Linked DNA regions of Saccharomyces cerevisiae S288C. Changing the gene in region 4 together with the main gene of any one other region gives a genetic interaction. Each region holds a gene or a part of one and is shown on either strand. Other genes may lie near its edges. The genes, in order: SSD1, IXR1, SET3 and RXT2.

What was found.
Region 1: mutations in RXT2 (region 4) and SSD1 together harm fitness more than expected from each alone (negative genetic interaction), as found in Saccharomyces cerevisiae (5 studies listed by BioGRID).
Region 2: mutations in RXT2 (region 4) and IXR1 together harm fitness more than expected from each alone (negative genetic interaction), as found in Saccharomyces cerevisiae (4 studies listed by BioGRID, with this or other methods).
Region 3: mutations in RXT2 (region 4) and SET3 together harm fitness more than expected from each alone (negative genetic interaction), as found in Saccharomyces cerevisiae (6 studies listed by BioGRID, with this or other methods).

The regions. Positions count from the first base shown.
Region 1 is NC_001136.10:1,042,791-1,053,023, reverse strand, and holds SSD1 (mRNA-binding translational repressor SSD1), read left to right. Parts: upstream 1-3,631; coding exon 3,632-7,384; downstream 7,385-10,233. Other genes in the region: HDA2 (Hda2p), read left to right, coding at 1-401; sphinganine-1-phosphate aldolase DPL1, read left to right, coding at 796-2,565; SRP101 (signal recognition particle receptor subunit alpha), read left to right, coding at 8,013-9,878; HRQ1 (ATP-dependent 3'-5' DNA helicase), read right to left, coding at 10,063-10,233. UniProt on the Saccharomyces cerevisiae protein: Can suppress the lethality due to deletion of SIT4, and partially the defects due to BCY1 disruption. Is implicated in the control of the cell cycle G1 phase.
Region 2 is NC_001143.9:377,378-385,758, forward strand, and holds IXR1 (DNA-binding transcription repressor IXR1), read right to left. Parts: upstream 4,482-8,381; coding exon 2,688-4,481; downstream 1-2,687. Other genes in the region: TTI1 (Tti1p), read left to right, coding at 1-1,195; MAE1 (malate dehydrogenase (oxaloacetate-decarboxylating)), read right to left, coding at 5,339-7,348; transcription factor TFIIE subunit TFA1, read left to right, coding at 8,381-8,381. UniProt on the Saccharomyces cerevisiae protein: Binds to platinated DNA and confers sensitivity to the anticancer drug cisplatin. Activate the expression of the COX5B gene.
Region 3 is NC_001143.9:495,129-504,107, forward strand, and holds SET3 (histone-binding protein SET3), read right to left. Parts: upstream 4,706-8,979; coding exon 2,450-4,705; downstream 1-2,449. Other genes in the region: SAP190 (Sap190p), read left to right, coding at 1-2,230; GMH1 (Gmh1p), read left to right, coding at 5,154-5,975; SPO14 (phospholipase D), read right to left, coding at 6,216-8,979.
Region 4 is NC_001134.8:433,906-437,294, forward strand, and holds RXT2 (Rxt2p), read right to left. Parts: upstream 1,794-3,389; coding exon 501-1,793; downstream 1-500. Other genes in the region: PBY1 (putative tubulin tyrosine ligase), read left to right, coding at 1-392; YBR096W (uncharacterized protein), read left to right, coding at 2,116-2,808; ubiquitin-binding serine/threonine protein kinase VPS15, read left to right, coding at 3,046-3,389. UniProt on the Saccharomyces cerevisiae protein: Component of the RPD3C(L) histone deacetylase complex (HDAC) responsible for the deacetylation of lysine residues on the N-terminal part of the core histones (H2A, H2B, H3 and H4).

The DNA.
Region 1 (10,233 bases), on a different chromosome or scaffold from region 4:
AAAATGCGACTCTTTTTAATAAGTTAAAGGAACTCCAACAAGCAAATGCGGAAAAATCAAAGCTCAATGATGAACTACGTTCCAAATATCAAATAGAATCTTCAAAAGCCGCAGAGTCCGCGCAAACATTGAAAATTTTGCAAGAATCAATGAAGTCTTTAGAAAACGAAGTTAATGGTCCACTGACTAAATTTTCCACAGAAAGCTTGAAGAAGGAGCTGGAACGTTTACAGAATGATTTTCAGTCGCTTAAAGCAAGAAACAAATTCTTAAAGAATTACATAACCTTAATGAACCGACAGTACGACTTAAAAAACAAAAACAACGTCCAGGTGGAAAAAGCTGCCGCAAATGGTACACGGTTTAGATCAACAAGATCCAATACCCCTAATTACACATGAATGTGACGTTTCCTAAAAGAAGTAGCCTGTATAATATAGAGAGATTTTATATACTTTCTTAATGAATTAGACTGTTTCTACAAGTATTTGACACTGGAAAAAAAGAGAAAGTACATAGAGATTGGCCAAATATTTAAATCTACACAGTTGCCTATCGTTTATCGCCTTATTCTTCAGAAACATTTCATCAACTACTCTGGTGCATTATTTCATGTTAGTTACCATATATACCGGCCGGCCGCATCGGGGTTTTTTGATTGAAAAAATTGGTATATTTTCAGTACACATATAAATAAAACCCTCAATTTGCCTCTCCAACCGTTATAACTATTCCAGATCCTCTTTACCGAGCAAGTAGGCTAGCTTCTGTAAAGGGATTTTTCCATCTAATACAATGAGTGGAGTATCAAATAAAACAGTATCAATTAATGGTTGGTATGGCATGCCAATTCATTTACTAAGGGAAGAAGGCGACTTTGCCCAGTTTATGATTCTAACCATCAACGAATTAAAAATAGCCATACATGGTTACCTCAGAAATACCCCATGGTACAACATGTTGAAGGATTATTTGTTTGTGATCTTTTGTTACAAGCTAATAAGTAATTTTTTTTATCTGTTGAAAGTTTATGGGCCGGTGAGGTTAGCAGTGAGAACATACGAGCATAGTTCCAGAAGATTGTTTCGTTGGTTATTGGACTCACCATTTTTGAGGGGTACCGTAGAAAAGGAAGTCACAAAGGTCAAACAATCGATCGAAGACGAACTAATTAGATCGGACTCTCAGTTAATGAATTTCCCACAGTTGCCATCCAATGGGATACCTCAGGATGATGTTATTGAAGAGCTAAATAAATTGAACGACTTGATACCACATACCCAATGGAAGGAAGGAAAGGTCTCTGGTGCCGTTTACCACGGTGGTGATGATTTGATCCACTTACAAACAATCGCATACGAAAAATATTGCGTTGCCAATCAATTACATCCCGATGTCTTTCCTGCCGTACGTAAAATGGAATCCGAAGTGGTTTCTATGGTTTTAAGAATGTTTAATGCCCCTTCTGATACAGGTTGTGGTACCACAACTTCAGGTGGTACAGAATCCTTGCTTTTAGCATGTCTGAGCGCTAAAATGTATGCCCTTCATCATCGTGGAATCACCGAACCAGAAATAATTGCTCCCGTAACTGCACATGCTGGGTTTGACAAAGCTGCTTATTACTTTGGCATGAAGCTACGCCACGTGGAGCTAGATCCAACGACATATCAAGTGGACCTGGGAAAAGTGAAAAAATTCATCAATAAGAACACAATTTTACTGGTCGGTTCCGCTCCAAACTTTCCTCATGGTATTGCCGATGATATTGAAGGATTGGGTAAAATAGCACAAAAATATAAACTTCCTTTACACGTCGACAGTTGTCTAGGTTCCTTTATTGTTTCATTTATGGAAAAGGCTGGTTACAAAAATCTGCCATTACTTGACTTTAGAGTCCCGGGAGTCACCTCAATATCATGTGACACTCATAAATATGGATTTGCACCAAAAGGCTCGTCAGTTATAATGTATAGAAACAGCGACTTACGAATGCATCAGTATTACGTAAATCCTGCTTGGACTGGCGGGTTATATGGCTCTCCTACATTAGCAGGGTCCAGGCCTGGTGCTATTGTCGTAGGTTGTTGGGCCACTATGGTCAACATGGGTGAAAATGGGTACATTGAGTCGTGCCAAGAAATAGTCGGTGCAGCAATGAAGTTTAAAAAATACATCCAGGAAAACATTCCAGACCTGAATATAATGGGCAACCCTAGATATTCAGTCATTTCATTTTCTTCAAAGACCTTGAACATACACGAACTATCTGACAGGTTGTCCAAGAAAGGCTGGCATTTCAATGCCCTACAAAAGCCGGTTGCACTACACATGGCCTTCACGAGATTGAGCGCTCATGTTGTGGATGAGATCTGCGACATTTTACGTACTACCGTGCAAGAGTTGAAGAGCGAATCAAATTCTAAACCATCCCCAGACGGAACTAGCGCTCTATATGGTGTCGCCGGGAGCGTTAAAACTGCTGGCGTTGCAGACAAATTGATTGTGGGATTCCTAGACGCATTATACAAGTTGGGTCCAGGAGAGGATACCGCCACCAAGTAGCTATATAGAATCAAATCTCATACATAATTTAAAGAACGAGAGTGCAATGTGATGATTGTGATTCCTGATCCTATGTCACGGACGACGACTTGTATCACCTTGAATTTTCTGACCAAAGGGGCCGAGTCGCTTCACGAGGGGATGAGAAAGGAAAAGAAGGGAAAACTAAACTTATATAACGCAGGTGTGTCTTTCTACCATTGCCATCAAGTTATTAAAGGCCACGAACAGGAACGCTAGAGACCTGAGTTTGTCATTTGTTTAGTTCAAGGATTAAATAAACAATCCTTCTACAAATAAGTCCTTTCTTTCACCATCGTCTTAAGACCACTGCCTCCAACGAAAACTAACCTAAAAGAGTTTAGATCACGAGTATTTTCGCTCTTTCCCTCCTTCCCCTGGTTTTTTCTCGTTAGTTCTTTTCATTTAAAAACTCTTCTCTTGTCAAGAATTTAAAAGACGAAGAGTCCAACACCGACTGATTTTCTAACAGCAAAGGAACGAAGTTTTGCCGTGCAAACAATAATTTCTAAATTATAATTTTGAGCCTAGCTGAGAAATAGGAGAGATTATATTTTAGAAAGGTAAGAAGTTTTTCTGTCATTCCTTTTAGAATATTTGCTACGTTCTAACATTTTTTGTTACTCAAGCGCATTTTCTGCAACTTCCCTTATAAGCTATTTCCTTTTTTTGGGACCGATCCTTTCTTCTGTCTTTGGTAACCTAAAAACCGGAATAGTCAAAGTTATCTGCATAGTCTTCTTGCCAGGCTTATTTTCGCCATACCATTTTTCTGGTACCCTAAACATTTTGGTCTTATTTTAGAACAGCTGGTGCCTCGTTTTTCCGCATTAGGCGCACTTTTTTCATAGCCACTATTCTAAAAGAAACAACTTTTTTTCAAAGGGAAATCTAAGTTGCCTGCACGAAGAATAAGACAAGGGTTCATAAACGTATAGTATTTGCCAAGTTCCATCTTTTTCTTTGTCACTTTAATATCGCAAAACAGAACACCAAAAACCTTTCAGCGCAAAGATTTGGCCCAATTATTCCATCTTTATACACTATGTCTAAAAATAGCAACGTTAACAACAATAGATCCCAAGAGCCAAATAACATGTTTGTGCAAACCACAGGAGGTGGTAAAAACGCCCCAAAGCAGATTCATGTTGCACACAGACGTTCCCAAAGTGAGTTGACAAATTTGATGATTGAACAATTCACTTTGCAGAAGCAGTTGGAGCAAGTTCAAGCACAGCAGCAACAGTTGATGGCTCAGCAACAGCAATTGGCACAACAGACAGGACAATACCTGTCAGGAAATTCTGGCTCTAACAATCATTTCACGCCTCAACCGCCTCACCCTCATTACAACTCAAACGGTAATTCACCTGGTATGAGTGCAGGTGGCAGCAGAAGTAGAACTCACTCCAGGAACAACTCCGGATATTATCATAATTCATATGATAACAATAACAATAGCAATAATCCTGGGTCTAACTCACACAGAAAGACGAGTTCACAATCCAGCATATATGGCCATTCCAGAAGACATTCTTTAGGTCTAAATGAAGCGAAAAAGGCTGCTGCGGAAGAACAAGCTAAAAGAATATCTGGGGGTGAAGCAGGCGTAACTGTGAAGATAGATTCTGTTCAAGCTGATAGTGGCTCAAATTCTACTACAGAACAATCTGATTTTAAATTTCCACCACCACCAAATGCTCATCAGGGCCATCGTCGCGCAACTTCAAACCTATCACCTCCCTCTTTCAAATTTCCTCCAAACTCTCACGGGGATAATGACGATGAATTCATAGCAACCTCTTCAACGCACCGCCGTTCAAAGACAAGAAACAATGAATATTCTCCAGGCATTAATTCCAACTGGAGAAACCAATCACAGCAACCTCAACAGCAGCTTTCTCCATTCCGCCACAGAGGATCTAATTCAAGGGATTACAATTCCTTCAATACCTTAGAACCTCCTGCGATATTTCAGCAGGGACACAAACATCGTGCCTCTAATTCATCAGTTCATAGTTTCAGTTCACAAGGTAATAATAACGGAGGTGGACGTAAGTCCCTATTTGCACCCTACCTTCCCCAAGCCAACATTCCAGAGCTAATCCAAGAAGGGAGACTAGTAGCTGGTATATTAAGAGTTAATAAAAAGAATAGATCGGATGCCTGGGTCTCTACAGATGGCGCTCTTGATGCGGATATTTACATTTGCGGCTCCAAAGATCGTAATAGAGCACTTGAAGGTGATTTAGTCGCGGTAGAACTATTAGTTGTGGACGATGTTTGGGAGTCCAAGAAAGAAAAGGAAGAAAAGAAGAGGAGAAAGGATGCCTCTATGCAACACGATCTAATTCCTTTGAACAGTAGTGACGATTACCACAACGATGCATCTGTTACTGCTGCAACAAGCAACAATTTTCTATCTTCTCCCTCCTCGTCTGATTCGCTAAGCAAGGATGATTTATCCGTCAGAAGAAAGAGGTCATCTACTATCAATAATGATAGTGATTCCTTATCATCTCCTACCAAATCAGGAGTAAGGAGAAGAAGTTCATTGAAACAACGTCCAACTCAAAAGAAAAATGACGATGTTGAAGTTGAAGGTCAGTCATTGTTATTAGTTGAAGAAGAAGAAATCAACGATAAATATAAGCCACTTTACGCAGGCCATGTCGTTGCTGTTTTGGACCGTATCCCTGGTCAGTTATTTAGCGGTACATTAGGTTTGTTGAGACCATCCCAACAAGCTAATAGCGACAATAACAAACCACCACAAAGCCCAAAAATTGCTTGGTTCAAGCCTACTGATAAGAAGGTGCCATTAATTGCAATTCCTACAGAATTAGCTCCAAAGGACTTTGTTGAAAACGCTGATAAATACTCCGAAAAGTTATTCGTTGCCTCTATTAAACGTTGGCCAATCACATCTTTGCATCCATTTGGTATTTTAGTTTCCGAACTTGGAGATATTCACGATCCTGATACTGAAATTGATTCCATTTTAAGGGATAACAATTTTCTTTCGAATGAATATTTGGATCAAAAAAATCCGCAAAAAGAAAAACCAAGTTTTCAGCCGCTACCATTAACGGCTGAAAGTCTAGAATATAGGAGGAATTTTACGGACACTAATGAGTACAATATCTTTGCAATTTCCGAGCTTGGATGGGTGTCTGAATTTGCCTTACATGTCAGGAATAACGGAAATGGTACCCTAGAGCTGGGTTGTCATGTTGTTGATGTGACCAGCCATATTGAAGAAGGCTCCTCTGTTGATAGGCGTGCGAGAAAGAGGTCCTCTGCGGTGTTCATGCCACAAAAACTTGTCAATTTATTACCACAATCGTTCAACGACGAACTGTCGTTGGCCCCTGGCAAGGAATCAGCCACGCTGTCGGTTGTTTACACTCTAGACTCATCTACTTTAAGGATTAAATCTACTTGGGTAGGCGAATCTACAATTTCCCCCTCAAACATCTTGTCTTTAGAACAATTAGACGAAAAATTATCTACTGGAAGTCCCACTAGCTACCTCTCTACTGTACAGGAAATTGCTAGATCATTTTATGCTAGAAGAATAAATGATCCAGAAGCTACATTACTTCCCACCCTGTCCTTATTGGAAAGCTTGGATGACGAAAAAGTTAAGGTTGACTTGAACATCCTGGATAGAACTTTAGGCTTTGTTGTAATTAATGAGATTAAAAGAAAGGTCAACTCCACTGTTGCAGAGAAAATTTACACCAAACTTGGTGATCTAGCTCTTTTGAGAAGGCAGATGCAACCCATTGCAACCAAGATGGCGTCATTTAGAAAGAAAATTCAAAATTTTGGTTACAATTTTGATACCAATACGGCGGATGAATTAATCAAAGGGGTGCTAAAAATTAAAGATGACGATGTTAGAGTCGGAATTGAAATTTTACTGTTTAAAACCATGCCAAGAGCTAGATACTTTATTGCTGGCAAAGTAGACCCGGACCAATATGGGCATTATGCCTTGAACCTACCTATCTACACACATTTCACAGCGCCAATGAGAAGATACGCTGATCATGTCGTTCATAGGCAATTAAAGGCCGTTATCCACGATACTCCATACACCGAAGATATGGAAGCTTTGAAGATTACCTCCGAATATTGTAATTTTAAAAAGGACTGTGCTTATCAAGCACAGGAACAAGCAATTCATCTATTGTTGTGTAAAACAATCAACGACATGGGAAATACTACAGGACAATTATTAACAATGGCTACTGTCTTACAAGTTTACGAGTCCTCCTTTGATGTATTTATTCCAGAATTTGGTATTGAAAAGAGAGTTCATGGAGATCAACTACCTTTGATCAAAGCTGAGTTTGATGGTACCAATCGTGTCTTGGAATTGCATTGGCAGCCCGGCGTAGATAGTGCAACTTTTATACCAGCAGATGAAAAAAATCCAAAATCCTATAGAAATTCCATTAAGAACAAATTCAGATCCACAGCCGCTGAGATTGCGAATATTGAACTAGATAAAGAAGCGGAATCTGAACCATTGATCAGCGATCCATTGAGTAAGGAACTCAGCGATTTGCATCTAACAGTACCAAATTTAAGGCTACCATCTGCAAGCGACAACAAGCAAAATGCTTTAGAAAAATTCATTTCTACTACTGAAACCAGAATTGAAAATGATAACTATATACAAGAAATACATGAATTGCAAAAGATTCCTATTCTATTGAGAGCTGAGGTGGGGATGGCTTTGCCATGTTTAACCGTCCGTGCATTAAATCCATTCATGAAGAGGGTATAATCTCTTCTACCAATATCGTCATTGCTGTTTTTCTTGTTTTTCACTTTCGTTCTTTGGATTGTGCTTCACCCCTCAGTATCCCTTCCCTTTGTTTTTATTTCCTGCGAACATTAACAACTGCATGAATTTTGTACTTCTCCTTTTAATCCACGTTCCGGTAAGGCATCATCCAAATTTTTTTATTCGACCTCGTTAAGTCATATATTTTTTCCCAAAAATACATAAAACAATAATGCAGCCTTCTTTTCAATATTTACAACTTTTCAATTTATATTGTCTTTTGTTATTTATACTCTTATATATTAAATTTATTCCGTTACTAAATACCCTTTTGCTGTACAAATATCATCAAAGAGAAGTACTGAAAGCTTACTTTTTATGCGCTGGGTAATTTTTCCGGAAACAATAACGAAATCATCGTCGAGCAATTTTGCTCGTACTTCAGAAACTACTGCGTAAACATTTGAGGTCGTACAATAAGTAGATAGAAATAAATAAACCAATTTTTCGTCAGCGTTTAATCTGTAGCCAAAGATTTGTGGTATTCTCACAGTTTGAATAATATTCAGCTACTTCATCAAGTAGTTTTTTTCAATAGGAGATTCACGGTTCAATAAGTGCATTGATTATGTTCGACCAATTAGCAGTCTTTACCCCTCAAGGTCAAGTACTTTACCAATATAACTGTTTAGGAAAAAAGTTTTCTGAAATACAAATTAACAGCTTTATATCCCAGCTGATTACTTCCCCAGTAACTAGAAAAGAAAGTGTTGCAAACGCAAATACAGACGGATTTGATTTCAATCTTTTAACAATCAACAGCGAACACAAAAATTCTCCTTCATTTAATGCACTATTTTATTTGAATAAGCAACCAGAATTGTATTTCGTAGTGACTTTTGCCGAGCAGACTTTAGAGCTTAATCAAGAAACTCAACAAACACTTGCACTGGTGTTAAAACTCTGGAACTCATTGCATTTAAGTGAATCCATTCTAAAAAATCGTCAGGGCCAAAACGAAAAGAACAAGCATAACTACGTCGATATTCTTCAGGGAATTGAAGACGACCTGAAGAAATTTGAGCAATATTTTAGGATAAAATATGAAGAGTCAATAAAACAAGACCATATCAATCCAGATAATTTTACCAAAAATGGATCAGTACCCCAATCGCATAATAAAAATACCAAGAAAAAATTGAGGGATACAAAAGGTAAGAAGCAATCTACAGGAAATGTTGGTAGTGGGAGAAAGTGGGGCCGTGATGGTGGCATGCTTGATGAAATGAATCATGAAGATGCAGCCAAATTAGATTTCTCATCATCCAACAGCCACAATAGTAGCCAAGTAGCTCTAGACTCCACTATTAATAAAGATTCTTTTGGGGATAGAACAGAAGGAGGCGATTTCTTAATCAAAGAAATTGATGATCTTTTGTCTTCTCATAAAGACGAGATAACTAGTGGGAACGAAGCTAAAAATTCTGGATACGTCAGTACAGCTTTTGGATTCCTTCAAAAACACGTTCTAGGTAACAAAACGATCAATGAAAGTGATTTGAAATCTGTATTAGAGAAGTTAACACAACAATTGATAACCAAAAATGTAGCACCAGAGGCAGCAGACTATTTAACACAGCAAGTCTCACATGATCTTGTAGGCTCAAAAACTGCAAATTGGACCAGTGTTGAGAATACTGCTCGTGAATCTTTAACAAAAGCATTAACTCAAATATTAACGCCTGGTGTATCCGTTGATCTCCTCCGTGAAATTCAGAGCAAAAGAAGCAAAAAGGATGAAGAAGGTAAATGTGATCCCTATGTGTTCTCTATAGTTGGTGTTAATGGTGTTGGTAAGTCAACAAATCTTTCAAAGCTAGCGTTTTGGTTACTGCAAAATAATTTCAAGGTCTTAATTGTTGCTTGTGATACGTTTAGGTCTGGTGCAGTTGAGCAACTAAGGGTCCATGTTGAAAATTTGGCACAGCTAATGGATGATTCACACGTTCGTGGCTCCAAGAACAAAAGGGGTAAAACTGGTAATGACTACGTTGAACTATTTGAAGCTGGTTATGGTGGATCTGACTTGGTAACCAAAATTGCAAAGCAAGCCATCAAATATTCTCGTGATCAAAACTTCGATATAGTGTTAATGGATACTGCCGGGAGAAGGCATAATGATCCTACTTTAATGTCGCCATTGAAGTCTTTCGCTGACCAAGCCAAGCCAGATAAAATCATTATGGTTGGAGAGGCTTTAGTAGGTACTGATTCTGTCCAGCAAGCCAAAAATTTTAATGATGCCTTCGGAAAGGGAAGAAATCTTGACTTCTTTATTATCTCCAAGTGTGACACAGTTGGTGAAATGCTGGGTACTATGGTAAATATGGTTTATGCTACGGGGATTCCTATCTTATTCGTTGGCGTGGGACAAACCTATACCGATTTGAGGACATTAAGCGTAAAATGGGCTGTTAATACATTAATGTCTTAAAAACTGTAATATCATAGTATATATATATATACCACAGACAATGTTATTCAACAATAATAAAGTGTCTTTTTTTCTGTGCATCAACAAGGTGACAGAATGTTGATGTAACTTCTTTCCACCAAGTGAATCTACAAGTAGTAGAATAGAGTATTTATATTCGGTTTACAAACTACAAATAGCGTGCTCATATCTCTTTTTTAATGATTTCATTTGTATGAGTATCGTCTTTCGTAGCTCTTCTAACGTCAATAATCTTAAAATCATCTGAAAAGTTGACATGCTCTGACACAGGAATAACAGTCTCTACTTTTATCTCTGGCATATTTGGCTCTGGACCATCTTTGATAAGATCTAT
Region 2 (8,381 bases), on a different chromosome or scaffold from region 4:
ATCCTGTGCATTGAGGATAGCAGATACCCTATATCATGGGTCTATCCCAAACATGATCTTAAGCAACGTAGATTATCTTGTAGAATCTATTTCCTCAAGATTGAATTCTGGGATGACTGAACGAGTGAGCCAAATATTAATGGTGATTTGCCAATTGGCTGGCTATGAAACCATTGAAAATTTTAAAGATGTTATTGAAACGATATTTAAACTACTGGATTATTATCATGGATATAGTGATCTCTGTCTTCAATTTTTCCAACTATTTAAAATCATCATTTTGGAGATGAAGAAAAAATATATCAATGATGATGAGATGATTTTGAAAATAGCTAATCAACACATTTCACAAAGTACTTTTTCGCCCTGGGGTATGACCGATTTTCAGCAAGTACTCAATATACTAGATAAAGAGACACAGGTTAAAGATGACATAACAGACGAGAACGACGTCGATTTTTTGAAGGATGATAATGAGCCCAGTAATTTTCAAGAATATTTCGACTCCAAATTAAGAGAGCCAGATAGCGACGACGATGAAGAAGAAAGAGAAGAAGAGGTGGAAGGAAGTTCTAAAGAGTATACTGACCAGTGGACCTCACCTATACCATCAGATTCATACAAAATACTATTGCAAATTTTGGGTTATGGGGAAAGATTATTAACCCATCCATCAAAACGATTAAGAGTGCAAATTCTTATTGTTATGAGGCTTATATTTCCCTTGCTATCAACACAGCATAATCTGTTGATAAGGGAGGTTGCTAGTACATGGGACTCCATCATACAGTGCGTCCTATGCTCTGATTATTCGATCGTTCAGCCCGCATGTTCATGCGTGGAGCAGATGATAAAATATTCTGGTGATTTTGTCGCCAAGAGATTCATTGAACTTTGGCAGAAACTGTGTCAGGATTCTTTTATATTGAAAGAACTGAGGATTGATCCAACGGTGCACAACCATGAGAAAAAATCGATTAGTAAGCATGTCAAATTCCCACCAGTAACTGAAAATGCGCTAGTATCGATGGTACATATGGTGCTAGAAGGGGTCAAAATTACAGAGTATTTAATTTCTGAAGCGGTACTTGAACAAATAATATATTGTTGTATTCAGGTTGTTCCAGTGGAGAAAATATCATCTATGTCATTGATAGTGGGGGATATCGTGTGGAAAATAAGAAATATAAATTAAACTTATGTGGCTAAACATATGCATTTGTATATGGTAATACAGTGGTTTATTATTGCTCACATTGTTCACACCAGTGACTATAGTGATTACAATAAGTAATTAGACAATAAATGTTATGAGTGATCCAGAATGAGGAATGATATGTGACTTCAGAATTAGCAGGGCAGCTAAATTAAAGATCTTTTAATTCAATTTTAGCTTACGATTTATATCTATGAAAGACATGAATTGTCACTTTGGGTAACCAATGATATCGGTGACTGCTATTTATACCTATCTCATATTATATTAAGAAGACCAGCTTTTATTCTCGGTTGGTAGTACCACTTGTCTACTAATCATCAACAATATATTCTAATAAAGTATTATGTACATATATATATATATATTACCAGCTCGGCCAGGCATTGGAAAACAGAAGAAACATTTCTCATGATTGAAATGGATAAACACGTTAATCAACAGGGACTATGTTGCAGGTGAAATATTAGCAATTAATAAGAAGGGCAATACGCATATTACAAATGAAGCGATAGAACAGACAGTGTCCAAGTAATGATAATAACCAATATATGCGAGTATTAGTATTTTCCTAAAAAAAAGCAAGATTATATACACGGAATGGAGGAGCAGTAGCTACTTTAGATTCGGAGTTCCCTTACACTTGGAGAAGTAAGTCTGCTATCCTGAAAATATCCGTTATACTAAGGGCTCCAGTAATAGCGGGCATCTTGACAATCCTAATATCCTTAGGGTGGTGACTAGCACTCACCTTTGTTGGAGTGAAATCGTAATATCATCTATTGACTAGTATTTATGTTATTAGTACACATTATCCCATGCGGCGTCAAAAGATGACATGAAAACTGAGAAACAGTCATAAGACTCAATGGAAGCGCAGAATCTCGGAACTAAACTAGTTGTCCAGGTATTTACACGTTTAACTGGTTTGTCTAGGCAGGGTATCGTTTGATGTAATAAATTTTGTCTGCTTTGTAACGAGTGTTTCTGACATGTTTCAAACATATTTTATGTGTAAGTTGATAAGTCGCCCTTGTGTATCGTACAACTATGCCACTTTAAAATGATCAATTTTACAGATTAATAGGTTTCGTGGTCTAGTCGGTTATGGCATCTGCTTAACACGCAGAACGTCCCCAGTTCGATCCTGGGCGAAATCAATTAATTTTTTTGGCTTCATCACGCTCGTCAGTTGAGCTCGCACAGCATCAGAGGCAAACTTGAATTTGGCTTAAGTATATTACAAAAACAAGAAGGAGGGAAGACTACACACATGCGTATATGTATACAGGCAAATACATATAGACTGAAGTTAGAAAAAGGGAAAGAAAAATTATTATTAAATAAAGTAAAATTTGTAGTAATAGGAAATAGAGTAGTACAATATAAAACAAATGTTGAAAAAGGAATTCCTTATTCTCGTTGTTTGCGTGGGATAATGTTACAGTGGAAAACTAAAGTTGTTTATTTGTTATTCATTTTTTATGATCGAACCATTTGTAGTGGGGTCAGCCAATAACATGTGTTGTTGTTGTTGCTGCTGTTGTTGTTGTTGTTGGAGCGGCTGCTGCTGTAATGAAATCGGAGGAGAAACGGGCGTATTTGGGTTGGTACTGTTACTGTTGCTTCCGGTAACTGAGTCGATGGCATTTGCGGTTATGTGCTCGATACTGTCTTGGTTCTCCATGATTTTAGTGTCCATATTCAAATTCATGTTCATGGCCTTATGTGAGTGACCGGTTGGGTTACCGTTTGGATCATTTTCGTCGGGATAACAACTTTCCCATTCCTTTAATCTTTTCTTGTAAGTTTCAGTGTATTCCGCCTTTTTGGCAGGGTCTAACTCGCGCCATCTTTCACCGATTATCTTGGTAATTTCGATTAAACCTTTATCAGGATTTTCCTTGACGACGGTAGGTCTAATCTCCTGGGTGAACTGAATAAAGGGACCAGAGGGTCTCTTTGGGGGCAAAGTCTTTTCGTAAGCATCTCTCACAACTCTGTACTTCTCCCAGTTGGTTCTGAATTCTTCGTAGAATGGTTTTTTTTGATCATCCGTTAACTCTTTCCACCTTGCAGAAGCCAATTTAGACAATTCGGGGACCTTTGCTTCAGGGAATTGTTGAAGCAACTCATTTCTTATGGACATAGAAAACAGGAAATAAGCGGAAGAAGGTCTCTTTGGGCCTTGCTTTTTCAGTTGTTTTCTTCTCTCAATTCTGCTTTGAGTGGAAGATAATTTCTTCACCACTGGATGCTGTTGTTGCTGCTGTTGCTGTTGTAGATGATGATGTTGTTGTTGAAGTTGTTGTTGTTGTTGCAACTGGTGTTGCTGTTGTAGCTGCTGCTGTTGCTGCAACTGCTGTTGTTGTTGTAATTGCAGCTGTTGCTGCATCTGCTGCTGGTGGTGAGTCAATTGAGGTTGCAGATTGGGTGGTAACAAACCAGGATGAGTAGCGGTGTTGGCATTTCCTGCAGCATTTCCTGCAGAGGAAGGGTCCAAAAGACTAGACAGAGCGTTCATGTTGTTCGGGTAGTATCTCTGCACCTGTGGGAGCTGAGACAAGTACGAAGCCGGGCCAGCAGCATTGTTTGCGGCGGCCGCAGCAGCCGTGGCAGGGTTTAATTGGGAGGCTGCCAGCTGGGCAGGATTACTGCTAGTGCTGTTATTGCCGCTACTAACATTGTTGTTGTTACTGTTGTTGTTACTAGACGCGCCTGTACCCGTGACAGAAGGGTTTGTCTGTTTTTGAGTTAAATGACTTAAAAAGGAGTTGTAAAACTCGGAAAATTGTTGTTGATTGATCGTCGGATAGTTTTGGCCCGATCCGGTTTGTTGCATGTAACCGAAATCCTGAGGTAGCGCGTTAACATTAACATTGTTGTTTGAATTTGAGTTCGAATTAGCATACTGTTGTTGTTGTTGTTGCTGTTGTTGTTGTTGCGACTGCGAAGTAGGTTGCGTCAAAGATTGTGGAGGTAGTGGATAATAAACATTTTGCTGTTGTTGTTGAGGCGACTGCTGGAAGTGACCTTGATAAGGCGCTTGTTGTTGTTGCTGTTGTTGCTGCTGCTGCTGCTGTTGTTGTTGTTGAGGCTGGGCTTGAAACTGGTTCAAGTATTGGTGAGGTGTCTGGTGAGAAGCATCTCTGTACTGGGAGTCGTTGTGTTCGAGACCCTGATACTGCAGCGAATGGTCTTGGCCTATGTTGAGTAAGTTGGAGTTAGAGGCGTCGTCCTGTTTGGGCGAGATACCGGTGTTCATTGCAGTTGTGGGTACTGTTAGCGTCGTACGTATATCACAGAATGGATAGAAGAAGGGGATATAGTTGTGGTCTTGCCTTGACTTGCGTTGCCTTGCCTTGTCTGTGTGTAATAGAGTTCTTTGTGGGATATCAGAGCGAATAAACTTCAGCGTCACAGTCTCGGTAGCAGTAGCTGTTAGGCAGTGACCTAGCAGTAGAGGAAACAGAATACAATGCAGTACGATTACGGTACAGAGGATAACGAAGTAAACCACATTTACAGCGAGAACGAGAGACAGAAGGAGAGAGAGAACGAATGCGCCGGGCCGTGTCTATACTTGGCTCCACCAGCTGATGTGTGCATTTTTTTTTTGTTCCCATTCGTTCTCTCACCAAGGGGAGGTGGAAAAGAAAAGAAGAAAAAGAAAGTAAGGAAGGTCCGCTGCGCCTCTCCTTTGCTGCTGTTGCATCCGGACATCACACCCAACACAAAACCCCGCGCGGCCGTCGTCAGTAACCGTTCCACCCATTCCTCCACGGTATGTAGATCGCTAAGCACGATGTGTATGTTTTATGGATATGTGCCGATTTTTTCCGCATTTGGTATCATATTTTGTTTTGATAATTACCGTTCTTGTTATTGCTAGTTGCTTGGGTTAATGTTCTTGTGCTATTGTTGCTGTTGTTATTGTTTTTATTATTGTATTATTGTATTATTATTATATTATTATTATTATTATTATTATTATTATTATTACGGTATGTCAAGTATTATTTTTTTTTTAAAAATAAAGAAAAAAATTGTACAAATATATATATTTATATATTACTCTATATGGTTTTTTTTTTTTAAGTGCAGGCGTTGGTTATGCTTCGTCTACAATTGGTTGGTGTGCACCGATGGGTCATGTTGGACCTTGATCATAGGTCTGTACACAGGCTCCCACATTTGGGCTTTGACCCACTGTAAACATTCGTCAAAGTCACGAGGAACCTTGACAGTTTCGCCGGGAGCTCCTCCCGGTACTTGTTCTTGCTCGATACGGGCGGTTCCCTCCTCGAGTGCTTGCAAGATCACAGCGGTAGCTAGACGCGCAGAAGTGTTGGTGATGGTGTCCAGGCCGGGTAGCAACCCAGGTCTCGAGTCGCCCTCTCTTAGTGGCGACAATTCGGCTAGTTGGTCCACTGCAGCGGAGATCATCTTGTCTGTGATGGTGGTGGCACGCGATAGTACGGCACCTAAACCGATACCTGGGAAAGAGTAACAATTGTTGTTCTCCGAGATACGGTAACCATCAACAGGTGGGAAAGGAGATCCGGTAGCTACAAGAGCGTTGTTGTTGGTCCACTTCATTAAATCGGCAGGAACGGCTTCGTGTAGTCTAGTAGGGTTGGATAATGGGAAAATGATCGGTCTAGGATTGTGCTTGTGCATTTCTTCTACGACATCTTGAGTGAATGCGCCTGCTTGTGTGGAGCAGCCAACCAAACACGTTGGTTTGACGTTCTCCACCACATCATGTAAAGAGCGGGTGTTGATACCAGCCCATTCCGCATCACTCTTAGCGTATACGTGTTGGGCGGGAGTGGAGTTAGCCTCGTAAGATTGTAGAATTAACCCACGTCTGTCCATCAAGAAGATTTTCTTGCGCGCTTCTTCCTTGTCAACGCCGTGCGTGACCATATGATTCACAATTTGATCTGCGATACCGAGGCCCGCAGACCCGGCACCGTAAATAAGCACTCTGGTGTCTTTCAAGTCTCTGTTGGTATGTTTCAAAGCAGCAATCAACGAGGCCATCACGACGGCACCGGTGCCCTGAATGTCATCGTTGAATGATGGCAATTCGTACCTGTACTTTTCTAGTAATCTTCTAGCGTTCTTAACACCGAAATCTTCGAAATGCAGAACGGCGCTTGGATACACTTTCTTAACGGCCTTGATGAATTTTTCCAAGAAGTCGTCATATTGCTTACCCCTGATTCTGGAGAACTTGTTACCCATGTACAATTCGTCACGGGCTAGTTTCTTGTTGTTAGTACCGACGTCCAAACACACAGGTAGCACACGGCCGGGATGAATACCACCGCACAGCGTCATCAATGCCAATTTGGAGATAGCAATACGTACACCACCGATACCTTGGTCACCAATTCCCAGAATACCTTCCGAATCCGACACAACGATGTAGTCTACATCTTTGTCTCCACCGTATGTAGCCAATCTACATTCGATGGAATCAGGTTCGGTAATGTCTAAAAACACACCTTCTGGCTTTCTGAACCTGTGGGAATAGGCAGCAATAGCATCACCTTCGGTTGGGGTGTAAATGATAGGAACTAATTCCTTGATATGTCTCCTTATTAATGCAAAATATAGGACTTTGTTCTGTACTCTCAAAGACGTCATGAAGTCGTTTTTGGCCAAGGGCGTCTTCAAATAGCATAACTGCTTGTAGCTTCTTTCCAGTTGTTCGTCCAAAGTGTTCACTTGTGGTGGTAGCAATGCTTCTAAATTAAACGCTTCCCTTTCTTCTTGTGTAAATGCAGAACCCTTGTTAAATAAAGGAGAGTTTAAAAGTTGAAAGCTCTCCAAGGGACATTCTATGGCACCTTCTACAGTCAAACGAGTGGCATGTGGGTGAGGAGCTTCGAAGATCTTTCTGGCGCGAGAACCGACGGGTGTTTTAGTGACCTCCTCGTCGCTGTATGGCTTTTGGAAAGTATTTTCTCTTGTTGTGGTAGCTTTATGCGATCTAGTGTTAGAAGAATATAAACGCGATTGCTGAATAGGCCATCTTCTTAATGGTGCTGTCCTTGATGCTGTCAAGGATCTGGTTAGTTGCGATCTAGCAGCAACGGAAACGGATAGTCTGGTTCTAAGCATAACCGTATTTCTACCTTTTGTCTTGGTATTTATGTGCACTAAACTCGTTAAAAGTTGTAGGTTTCAAAAGCACAAATATCCGAAGCTGGACACAATATACGAGTAAGTATAAAGATACGCATATATATATATATATAATATGTCAATCATGCCGGTAACGGGTACGACTTCGAAACTCTATAGCGCTAAAGCTGTAGACCAAAGGAAGTCAAATGGAGCATACGCGGTACAGTAATAGGAAATTGCGAAAATTTTTCACCATAGAAAGGCGATGATGAGTCGAAGCCAAGGGGACTCAGTCACTCAGTCAGCTGATGCGATGCGATGTTAGCGCAAACAATAACGCGTACGATAATAAAACTTCAAATGCGCCAATTCTTTTTTTTTTTTTTTTTTTTTTTTGATTTCTTTTCATATATCCGATTTAAACCGCCTAGGGAAGAGTAAAAACCCGAATTGTTCCGTCTATACTTGGTTGTATGGGTGTTTTTTCTTCGATGCTTTTCGTATAAGAAGATATGCAGTGAATATCTTTCAATCGCCTTGAACGGTTGACAAGACGCAAGAATTTGAAAAACCTTGCAATGCACGATGCAATATTCAATTTGCACACATCGAAACGAATTGGTATCGAAAATAAACGCGAAACATATGAGAAATTTTTCTAACTTTTCTTCCTTCGTTAAGAGTGATCCTTGCACTGTGATGAATCGCTATAATTGTTGTAATGATTGACACTGGGTGAAGGGCAAAGGATGTCCAAATGATAAAAAAACAAAAAAATTTGGAAGTGTAAATTGTACCATGGGCGAATTTCAGGTTACTATTGTAGTCTGGTGAGTTAATACGTAATAATACTTGGTTTTTTTTTTTGGTTTTTTACTAAGCGTTACCGTGTGTAGTGATTATCTAAGCGGTTCTTGCAAGATTAGGAAAAAAGCTAATTAAGTGTAAACTTGGCAGCATGATTGCTCGTCCTAATCGAGCCAAAGATAGAAAACTACTGGAAGCAGCTGCTGCAGTGAGTAGAGTA
Region 3 (8,979 bases), on a different chromosome or scaffold from region 4:
CTTGACACATGTTGACAATCCGTCTTTGATGGACTTCCTTTTGAAAGTTATCTCGACGGATAAACCTGACTCTCCCACGGGTGTCATAAAGATACTAAAATCACAGGAATTAATACCTAAACTTTTAGATCATCTTAATCCAGAATACGGTATTTCCACTCAGTCTGCGGCAGGCGATTTTATTAAGGCATTCGTCACGTTAAGCACTAACTCAAGCAATGAACTTGCTTCGGGAATAGGTCCTAATGAATTGACAAGGCAATTAGTATCAGAAGAAATGATAGAAAAGTTGATTAAGATAATGCTAAAGGGCGGTACATCCTTAAGTAATGGTGTTGGAATTATCATAGAGTTGATCAGGAAGAATAACTCAGATTATGATTTCATCCAACTAGTCTACACTACCCTAGAAAGTCACCCTCCCACTGATCGAGATCCAATTCACTTGATACATTTAGTCAAACTTTTTGCTAAGCATATGCCTGATTTTGCTGATATGCTGGATAAAACCAAGTTGCCACTAATGGAAATGCCATTCGGTAATATTGAACCTCTGGGATTTGAGAGGTTTAAAATCTGTGAACTTATTGCAGAACTATTGCACTGTTCTAATATGACGCTGCTAAATGAGCCCAATGGTGAGATGATTGCCCAAGAACGTGATATAGAAAGGGCCAAAGAATTAGAAACTTCAACCGAAAAGGAAAATATAACAGCTATTGTGGACAATAAATCATCATATTATGATAAGGATTGCGTAGAGAAGGATATCACAGAAAATTTAGGCGCTCTTCAAATAAATAATCAAGGAAGTGAAGAAGATGAATTAAATGATACTGGGGTATCAAGTGTAAAACTAGATGTGAAATCAGACGCAAAGGTAGTTGAGGGGCTAGAAAATGATGCTTCTGGAGTAGAGTTGTATGATGAAACCTTGTCTGACACAGAATCCGTGAGAGAATGCCTAAGGGAAAAACCGCTAGTTGGAGACAGGCTGAAGATTGCTCTAGAAGACACTAAGATACTGATTAGTATCCTTGATATGTTCACTGAGTTCCCTTGGAATAATTTTTTGCATAATGTAATTTTTGATATTGCCCAGCAAATATTCAATGGTCCCCTCAAAACTGGTTATAATAGGTTCCTCTTGAAAGATTATTTGGTTGATGCATACCTAACTAAAAAGATAGTAGATGCGGATAAGGCATGTCAAGACTATGAAAAAAAGACCGGTTTACGTTATGGTTATATGGGTCATTTGACATTAGTTGCCGAAGAAATATCGAAGTTCAAAGAGTATATTGATGAAATGAAGCTAACTTTTTGCAATACCGCTGTTTCAGATCGACTTGAGGAACCATTTTGGAAAGAATATAGTGAAACGATCTTGGCTGATACAAGAGAGAAGTATAACACCGTTTTGGGAGATTTTGGCAATGACCAAGAAAGCGATGACGATGTTATTAGGAATTCTGATTCTGAGGATATAATTGGTGATACAGAGGGCAACGAAAACTACGGAAATGGAGAAAACGATGAACTTCTTAGTAACGGGCATGATTCTGGGAACATGGATTTATATTATAACTTCAATAATAACGAGAATGAAGAAAATGAAGAAGATTACGCAGAGTATAGTGATGTGGATAATAAAAATTACTATAATAACGTCGAGACTAACGACGATGATTATGATAGTGATGATGGTAAATCCAAAAGTGCCGAATCAGAGTTTACCGATAAAATATCTGAACATAGGGATGGCAATAGTCTCTATAATGAGGACAATGATGAAAACGGGAGTGACAAATGGACATCGGGTACTTCATTGTTCCCTCCAGACCATTTTCCTAGTAGGTCACAACCTTCAGATCCTAAACTGCAAGACCAGAATATTTTTCACCATCAGTTTGACTTTGAAGGTGTTGGCGATGACGATGACTATATGGATCCTAATGATGATGGCCAGTCATATGCCAGACCTGGTAATCCATTGTATACTACCCCGAAAACACCACCAAGACCGAAGACTATTCTTTTCAATTCTTTATCCGCATTGGATAATAATGGCGAAGACGAAGAAGTGGCACTAGGCACCAGTGTTGATGATCGAATGGATAACGAGATATCAAGCGATGAAGAAGACTCCGAAGATGAAGATGAAGAGAATGATATGGGCAATGAGGAGGGCTACTCATTATATAGGTCAAGAAGTAAAGAAGCTTTCTGAACTAAAACATTCACATTGTCACATTTTCACCCTTTATTCATCAATTTTTTATTGCTCCACTTTTTTCGCATATAGGTCATTTATAATTCATCAAATATATACTTTTTTAATTGAGGCTTGTAATTTAATATTAACCGAATATAATCTTATAAAGAATAATGAATATTCACTTTTGAATATACTTAAGTTTATATAGGTGTAAGAAGGAAATGTCCATGTTTATTTCAGTAGTTTTTTTCTGTAATCCGCAAAGCTTAATTTCTTTTTCGAATGCAGTTGTGAGGACGAAAAATCTGATAAGTGCATTATACTTTCTGGAGTGGATTCTCGCCTTGAATTAACCGAAGCTTCTGTCATGATTTCTTTTGTTTTTGCTTGACTGTGTTGTGCTTCCTTTGACAGTTCTTTATTGAAATTTGAAAGAGAAGGGGTTCTACTTAATTTATGTTCATTCTTTGATTGACTCTCTTCGACATCGTTTGCAGTTTGCCTTGACGTCTTGTTTATTGGTAAAAGAACTGGAATTGGTAATTCTTCAATATTGGTAATGTGTGATTCGTCATAATCTGTGCTCTTCGTAATTATTAAAGGTTTTTCTGAAGTTTCATTTTTTTTGGGAACAGAAATATTAGAAGAATGTTGTGCAAATAAGGCGAATTTGAAGGGTTTTGCAATATCATCAGGATTATTTGTACTATCAATAGTATTCTTTTGAGGAATTTTTGGACCATTATTTCGATTAAGGAATTTTTGTCGATAAAAATTATTCAAAAGTATTGGAGCTCTTTCTATAGTATTTTGAGCCTTTTCTTCTAGCCTATGCAAAATTGGTGGCTCACGTCTCTTTTTGCAATTATATTGGTTGAGAATTTCATTTAATTTATATCTGTTGTTCATTTTTCCTCTGGATTTCACAGATTTATAAAGACTTTGCGCGTATCTCTTCACTTTCAATAAATAACAATCTTTAGAATTATTTCCACAGCCGCATTCGCCGTTACTCAAAATTGTTTCTACCGAATTTATCAGCCCATACCTTTCAAGGTCATCTAAAGAGTCTATTGTCATGCCCTTTATTAATTTTAATATAGGATGTTTTGAATCCCACTGCCATTTGATGTATAACTCCTCATCCTCTGAAATATCTCTCAAAGCTCTTAAAACAAATTTTATTCTACTTGATTTTCTTCCACTGCTTTTGTCATTCCTATTGTCTGTATCTTGCAGTTTTATAGTTACTAATTCAACATTCGGCTGGCAACTTCTTCTCAAATACCTAGTTGAATTGCCTGATAAGCGTGCATCTATATATATCGGCCAATGGGAATGGAAAATGACCCTTCTTTTAGCTGTACCCCATATCCTGTAATGGTTTCGTGGGTCAGTGAGATAATTTTTATAGAAGTCCAATTCGCCTAAAATTTCTTGAATGAAATCACCTTTTATGCAGTCCTTTTTGAGATAAACTCCTAATTTCGTGAAGCCTGGGTAAGTCCTGGAATATGCAATGTCAGCATACGGTTTGACTTCAATTGACACAGATTTAAAGGTCTTATGAGGATATTGTATGACCCAATTATCATCCATATGTTTATTTAAGAACGGTTCGATCAGATCACTTTTAAACACATTGTCTTTCAAGGGCAAGTATATTGCACCATATGCGTCTTTTGCACTCAGGAAATGCTCTTTTTTCTTGGGCATAGAAGTCAATCCATCGGAAGAATTGACAGAAGCGCTTTCGTTTTTGGAGTCTATACTATTATTTGATGGGTTTCTTTTCCTTCTTTTGTCCCTGTGGTTAGTATTGTCCTGATCCGTTGAAAAGCTATCGCCAACGTCACTAATAGTTGTACTCGATGCTCTGTCCCGACCGTTATTCTTATTACTAGCACTATTGTTTGATGAAGAAGGTTCTACTGTTTTTACGTTTATGCGTTCCTGCTGTATTTTCCTAGCCAAGTTAATGTCTACCTCTCTTGGATCACATGAGTTGCAAAGGTAATCATCAGGTGCCATCCCAATATCTTTGATGCCATAGCAAATAGCATGCTGCCATCTGTTGCAGTGGTCACATTGGATAGTGAATCCATCATCATCATTTAAATCACATATACATGTAATTATACCCGCGTCAGGATCGACTATATACGAATCAGGTACCGGCCATTGAGGTTGCTTTTGAGGTTGATTTTCGGTCTCTTCTTTTGCTGCCGTGGATGTTGCTGCTTCTGCCGCCGATTGCTCAGTAGCTTTCTTTAAAGGTAAAGAAACTGTGGATGCTGTAGCCAGTGCTGCTGCTGCCATTTCTATTGCTCCTTTTTTTTCTCTCTCATGAGACTCATCATGCTCAATAGTATCTGTTTTAGAGCCTATTTTTGAAGCTTCTTCAGCTCTTTTTTTCCCTTTTGAAAACAATAACAATGTGGATGCATCATCTAGGAGCGACTGCTCTTTGGAATTAGGTACTGACATGATTCAGTTCTCGTATTTTGTGAAGTACGATCTAAAACTGTTGTATATACGCTTTAAATCATGTTTACTAGAAAGGTCCTTTATTACTACTTTCTGTATATAGCATGTCGTTGATAATGATATGCATCTATCATGACATAGTAAGATGAATGAGTTGGTTGAACAATTTCCAGGGAAACAAAGGACTAGTTTCATGTCTTTAATGTTTTTTTACGAATAATATACCATGCTATAAAAGTATTATAATAAAAGGTATCGACTACCTGTAATCTAGAATGATAATTTCATACAACGATCACTTCCAACGGTTAAATAATTACCAATAGACCTTACTAGAATATTAAACTTAACAGGTTTAAATTTTGTTGAAATAACTGCAAAAAGCCAGAAAGAAACAGATTTGCACTATAATTTTTCGATTGCCACTACTTAGTCAACGGATTTATCAATGTCATATTTGCCGACTTATTCCAACGACTTGCCAGCAGGCCCGCAAGGCCAGAGGAGGCGTAATAATGGTAATGAAAACGATGCAAGACAAGGCTACGGTCAGCAATCTGTGCCGATGGTAATCAGGAGGCTTTTCAAAACGCCAAAGAATTTAGATCTCGAGACAGCCAGCTGGGAAATGTTCCATTTGATTTTCCATCCAAGAAAAGCTTATAGATCAATATATTATCAGCGACAGACGAAAAATCAGTGGGCGAGAGATGATCCTTCCTTTTTCATCTTCCAAATAGCCTTAATTTCACTCAGTTCTATTATTTGGTCGATTTATAATTCAGGTTTCAACAACGACAGTGATATGGGGGCCTTGAGCATTATAGGTCATTTTTTCAAAAGTTTGGTAATGATGGTGATTTTAGATTTTTTCATATTTGGATTTATTATGGCAACTATTTTTTACCTTTTGTTGAATAGGTCACATTTTAAATTCAAATCGAGCCAAAATAGTGTGGTAGAGTGGGCTTATTGTTTCGACGTTCATTGTAATTCATTTTTAATCATCCTACTGTGCCTATACTTCATTCAGTTTTTACTACTGCCCATAATTAATTTACAAAACTGGATTTCCTTACTCATTGGTAATTCGTTATATTGTTTTGCTATTGGCCATTACTTTATTTTAACCTTTTATGGATACAACCAGTTGCCATTCTTGAAAAATTTGAACTTTATACTTTTACCAACATTAGGATTATCGATAATCTATTTAATCAGTTTATTTGGCATCGACTTATCCAAGAAATTAAGCTTTTACAATTATTAAGCAATTGAACACGGAAATAGAAAAAATTTGGTTCTTTAAGATAAAGCACATAAATTACATAATGATATTATTATTATATATATTTGAAGTATAAAAATGCAATGAGTAATAAGAGCAATAATGACACTATGGACCAAAAGAATGCATAATGAAAACTGTTTATGTATCAGCGTCGAATGCTTATAACAGATAAAAGGAAAATACAGGTAATGGTGTGTTCCTGGTCGTTTTTATATTCCCTTAATTGTAGATTTCCATTGGAGAAAGTCTATCCGAGTTAAAAATCCAATTTCTACTCTCAACTTCTTTAGCTAACCATTCGGTTGGGAAAATGACCAAATGACCGTGGATCCTTTCCAAGATTCTCTGCGCCGTATGTTTGTCAAAAACCTTTTGATTGAATCCATAAAGCAAACTACCGGATAACTTCATTCTCAATTCAGCGGCTTTTCTCATTTTTTCCTTTTCCCTATCCTTATCTACAACATTTGTAGTAGTAGAATTAATATTTTCAGCCTCTAAGTCAATCAACTTTTCCTGGTTTATTTGAAATTCTTGTTCTAATTCAGTAAATTCTCCATATTCTTTCCAATTTTGTACAGCATTATCGGGTTGACAATGAAACACTAATTTATAGAGTAATGTATTTCTCAAGGCTATAGTGAACCATAGCCCTTCAGAAAACGAAGAAATAAGAGGATCCTCGAAGGAATACGGGTCAATGAAGTTGAGTTTCAATAACTCTTCTTTTTTTGCGTCATCAATTTCACCACTGTTAAAGTTAGTGATCTTAGGAATTATCTGAGAAAGTAGATCGTCCAGTGAACCATCATCTAGTTCTTGATTTTTCAAAATATCTTCGTGCAATCTATGATATTCATCGCCTTCGATATCTTGGTCGACATTAGTGCTTTCTCCTTCATTGCTCTTTTCGTTTAATGGCAGACTATTAGACCCATTTCTGGTACTTTCTGTGCTTGAACTTAAATGTCTTCTCATATCTTTGATTTTCTTCAATCTCTGTGTTTTTCTTTCGTCGAGTTTATGAGATAAATATTGCAAGTAGCATATCCTTTTGAGCATACTCCATTTGTTTCTATTGGTAACAGTTTTATCCGTGAGATACATTTCTAGATCTTTCTCATTGGGCAAATAATTTGAAAATCCTTCTGGAATTTCTGATTTTATCATTTCTTTATCGTCAAGAACTTTCGAGGCCAATGAGTTCAATGCCCACTCCTTTAGCTGTTCAGTTGCATCGGCCTTGAATTTTTTGTTGGATTCCTTTTTCCAACAATCGGGACCGTAGCCATCAACCTCTTTTTTATGTTCATCATTCTTTCTTAATCTTGGATCAGTACTTAAGACTTTGTGGTCTCGTATACCGACATTTTCAATTCCTGCCCTGTGGTTGAATGTTAGCCCTAAAGATGCAAAATTATGTTTGGGCAGAGGCGTTCTCTTACGTGATGATTTACCGTAGTCCACAGAATTGAAGAATTTTTCATAAACGTTTTCATCTTCTCTTCCCACTTCTTTTTCATTTATGCCACACTGAGTGCTTCCATCATCAACACTGTTTCCATGACCACTCTTCCATTGAGGGCTAAATTTACAACCAAATATTTCACGATAACCTAGCTCAATCATAGCGGAATCGATCATTTCTCGATCGCTCCAATTGTTACCACTATCTCCCTCCTTACTTAGGGTATGAAGTTTTTCATAATTCTTTGCAGCAAACTTTTCAAACCTTTCAAATTTCTTTTCAACAAACTCAACAAGATCTACATCACAACCTAAATGTTCCCTCATTAATCGCTGCCTTAATTCCCAAGGAAATTTTCCCGCGTAGTAATCGTCACCATTCATTTTGGTCTTTATCAAGTCGGTGTCTCTAATAAGAATTGCCACCTCACTATCTCTATTACCCAGTTGTGATCTTTCGTTAATATTAGCAGACCCTATAATACATCTTCTGTCATCAGCAATCAGAATTTTAGCATGAACGTAGAGCTGCTCGGTGATTAATCTTTCATTAGGCGCAAAAGTCGACCATTTTCTTAGTGAAAAGAACTGAATATATTGAGCTGGGTCAATATTTAGTTTCTTCAGTTTACTAAATGTAGAATGTTCACCTCTTGAAATTGATTGATATTGGAATTGCATAATTAAACGAAGACTTGAGGCTTCTGCAGTATCTACTGGAGAATCGAATCCTGGCATTAGTGGGATAAGAATAAAGGCTTTCCAAGGTTTTTTCTCCTGATTAGCTTTGACTATCCTATCAACGAGAGCATCACCAATTTTATTCAAAACGCAAGTCCCGTTCCAGACAGTTGATGTAATGAAGAATTGATTCTCAATATAAATAAAGTGTTCACTTTGTTCAATTAACTTCAGGTAAGCATTTTGAATTGAGCATTCCGTTTCCTTTAGCCCAAGAGACCAGTTCCCAGCACTTCTAAGTATTTGAGTTTCACAAGTCGATTTTTCGCGTAGAATTTCGAACATCGGCAAACTCTTCAATTCTTCAGCAGTTAAATCTGAAGGCGGGGTTAGTAATGGAGTTAACCTACTAGGTCTCTTAGCTCTCAATAAGTAATTCCATCTTTGAACAAAATGTCGGGCTAAGTCTCTTGCTGGCTCACCCAAAGTCATCATTTGCACATCATGCCATGGCATCCTCGGAATGACTTTTCTATCATACATTGATTCGAATGGTTTATCTAAATCATGAAAATCAGCAATTCTGGCATTTGAATAATCCTTACCAGGAAAATTTTGATCTAATAAAGATTCTGCATCATCTCGTAGAACGTGTTCAAAAGTATCATATCTACCATAACATAAATCTGTACCACCAATAAATGCAAATGTTTCATCAATAACGACAAACTTCTCGTGGTGTGCCCAAAAATATGTATTTTGTAGCCATTGATTGGGAGACCTTATGATATGTATATTTGGATGTAAATTTAGCATAGAATGCTTGGTCCAAAGA
Region 4 (3,389 bases):
ATTCTTCTGTTTTGGAGTTTGACTCCATAGAGGAAATTCCAAATGAGAGAAAGTCCAATATTAAGGAGCAAATCCATAGCATAACGAACGACGTTTTCTTAGCTGCTGTAAATGTAAATAGATTAAACTTCCAACCGTTACCAAACGCATTTGAAACATATGGCGTAGACTTTTTGATTGATTCGAATTACGAAGTTAAATTACTAGAGATCAACGCTTTCCCAGACTTCAAACAAACTGGGAAAGATTTGAAGAACCTCATTGATGAATTATTTGATGACACTGTCAAATACTGTGTTACCCCCATCTTTAACGAGAATAGAAATAAGACAGATGATGAAACAGACCCGAACTTCGTAAAAGTCATTGATTACACTTCAAACGGTTGGTGAAACAAAAAAAAAAAAAGAACCCATCCTAAAATACTGTTATTATTACTAAATAGTGCTAAATAATACATATGCCTTGATTTTATTTCCGAAATTTTTTGTTTTGTCAATTTAGGCTCTATTAGCTTCTTCATCAGGTTCATTATCGTCTACAACACCGTCTTCCATGGTATTTTCAATTTCTTCCTCAAAATTTGTTGTCTTATTTGTTGTAGCACTGATCAGACCTCTCTTCACAACACGTAGAGCCACCGGGATAGTAATATCATCGTCAGATATACCCAAATATTCCCGACTCCAATTTAAAATCCTACCTCTTATTCTATTGGCTTTTATTACAGACTTTCTGATTTTTTGTAAGTTTCTTATGAATTCTTTATTCCTCTGTAGTGCAATCTGCGACAGCTGTCGGGCAGACTCAATTTCCTCATTTAACTGTTGTTGTTCGGCCGCTGTTAATGTTGATATAGAAGCAGAACCGGAAGAAGATGGCAGCAACGATAACAGCGCATTAGATTGTTCCAACCTTGGCAATGCAAAAAAAGGATCTTCCTCTCCAAATTCTTCCATGCCATTATTGATATGACCAGCTTCAGTAGACAAACTATTCGAGTTAACCTCGTTGATATTGTTTTTGTTGTTAATGTCATCCTCGTCGCTTGCCCCTCTATCCTCTGGAAGGGTCAAATTGTGATTATAAGATGGTAGGTTCAAGTTAGATTCATAAATTGGTTCAGGATGATCTCCTAAAAAAACCTCCAAAAACTGGGAATATCTAACAACTGACATCTGTTCTTTTTCAATCATTAGAATTATTTGCAAGGCTAAATTTTTCAAAATTGGGCTTGAAAATGTCCTTGAGATAGTTTTATGATTTATTATATCCCCTAGGGAAAGAATGGGAGTCAAAATCTCCTTTACATTCACTAGTTTTGATAGGTCGTCATCGTCTTCTTCGCCGTAATACTCATCAGTGATATTTTCGTCTTCCTTCTCACTACCATCGATGTCGTTTTCATCACCGACTAAAACAGGCTCGACGTTGATGTCAGGTGTGAATTTTATTCTTTTGCGTCTACTATCAGTGACAATATTTGTTTGCAGAAGGCGATGCTCCGAACCGTTATAGAACACAGTTTGCTCAATCATTGGCTTAGAATTGTTCAAGTCTCTTCTTGTTACTACTTCGCTTCTCTGCAAAAGTTTGTTACCTCTGTTAGAGGATATGCCAGTGGCCTCAGGATAGATTAGTTTTCCATCAAGGGATCTTTTCAGTACCTGATAGTTACCGCTTTTTTCCTTTATTATCCTTCTAGTAAATGTGCTAATTATATTCGATTCATTAGCTAACACACTCTTGCTTTCCAATTCTGCGTTGTTTTTCATACTGCTCCTAATAGTCATCTCGATCAACAAGAAGCAACAGCTGAGATATTTGTTTCTCAACCTCTTTTTTGCAGGAGATGCTGTCATCAAGCAACGTTTCTTCTATTTGAAAGCGATTGTTTTACCAGAACAAAGTTCGCTACCCGGCTTCGGTCCTCTTGGGTATAGGAGACAATAATGATCTTCGAATAACGCCGTTATAAAGTGAACATTATAATTATCCGCTTAAAGGCTTTTTAGTAATTTTGTAAAACAATTGCTTCTAATTTCAAGACTTCCAAAAGGTTTCTCGAGTAACTAGTGCTTTCCAATATCTACAACAAAATAAAATAATAGAATAATGGGTGTTTGCACTATTTTTAGGTGGCTCTTTGCTGCTTACTTGCTCTCTTCATATAAGTCGCTTCCTGGGGCATATTTTGTTAGGTTTTATTATTATGTTATTCAAAACTTGTTCTTGCCTATGTTTACAGGGTTTGAAACCGAGAATATTAAGAAACTTGAGAAAAATGAATATGGCTGTTTCTCGTACACCAGCCTAGATACCTATGCCTCTCCATTCGAATGTGACTTCTACTTTCATAAGAGCAATAGCACCTATTTTGCGGAATTGGACATTTCAAGAGGTAATCTCATGTGCAAGATTTTTCAAAAATTGATGCTGAATTCCAAGCATTATCCATATATTCCAGTTGCGAACGTTTTCACTAATTTCTTGAAGGAAATCAAGCCTTTTCAAAAGTACTCGGTTTCATCAAGGATTATCTGTTGGGATGAGAAATGGATTTACGTCATGAGTAGATTCACAATTAAAAAGGGCACCGTCTTATGCTCATTATCATTGACCAAATACGTCCTTAAGGACGGTAGAAAGACCATCAAACCAAAGGATGCTCTTGAATACTGTGGTTTATATAATGAGAAGGTCGCCAAAATTTCTGAGGACAATCTAAAGCTTTTAACCGAGCGTTGTGGTTTCCACGAGACAGTACCATTGGAAAACTTGAGCCAAGAGTACTGTTCAGAAATCTAACTTCTATACACATATAGCCGGTATTATAAAATATATAAATCTATCTTCTTTCAAAAGTTTCTCTGTGCAGTCTGCGTTATATTTTATCTTCGGTAGAAAACAAGGTAAATTTCCCTTATTTTTCAACATCATAAAAATGAAAAACAGATATATCTTAAGTAAGATACTTAAGCAGACAAGTTGAATTGGAGAAATACAAAAGCTGTAAGGTTATCAAAAAGGAAGGCATACAGTATAATGGGGGCACAATTATCACTAGTGGTCCAAGCATCACCTTCCATAGCCATTTTTTCATATATCGATGTCTTAGAGGAAGTACACTACGTTTCACAGTTAAACTCATCAAGATTCTTAAAAACATGCAAGGCACTGGACCCTAACGGCGAAATTGTTATCAAAGTGTTTATTAAACCAAAAGACCAATATAGCTTACGACCTTTTCTCCAACGTATAAGGGCTCAATCGTTTAAGTTGGGACAACTACCGCACGTTTTAAACTACAGTAAATTGATCGAGACAAATAGAGCCGGCTACATGATACGGCAGCACTTAAAAAATAATTTATATGACAGATTGAGTTT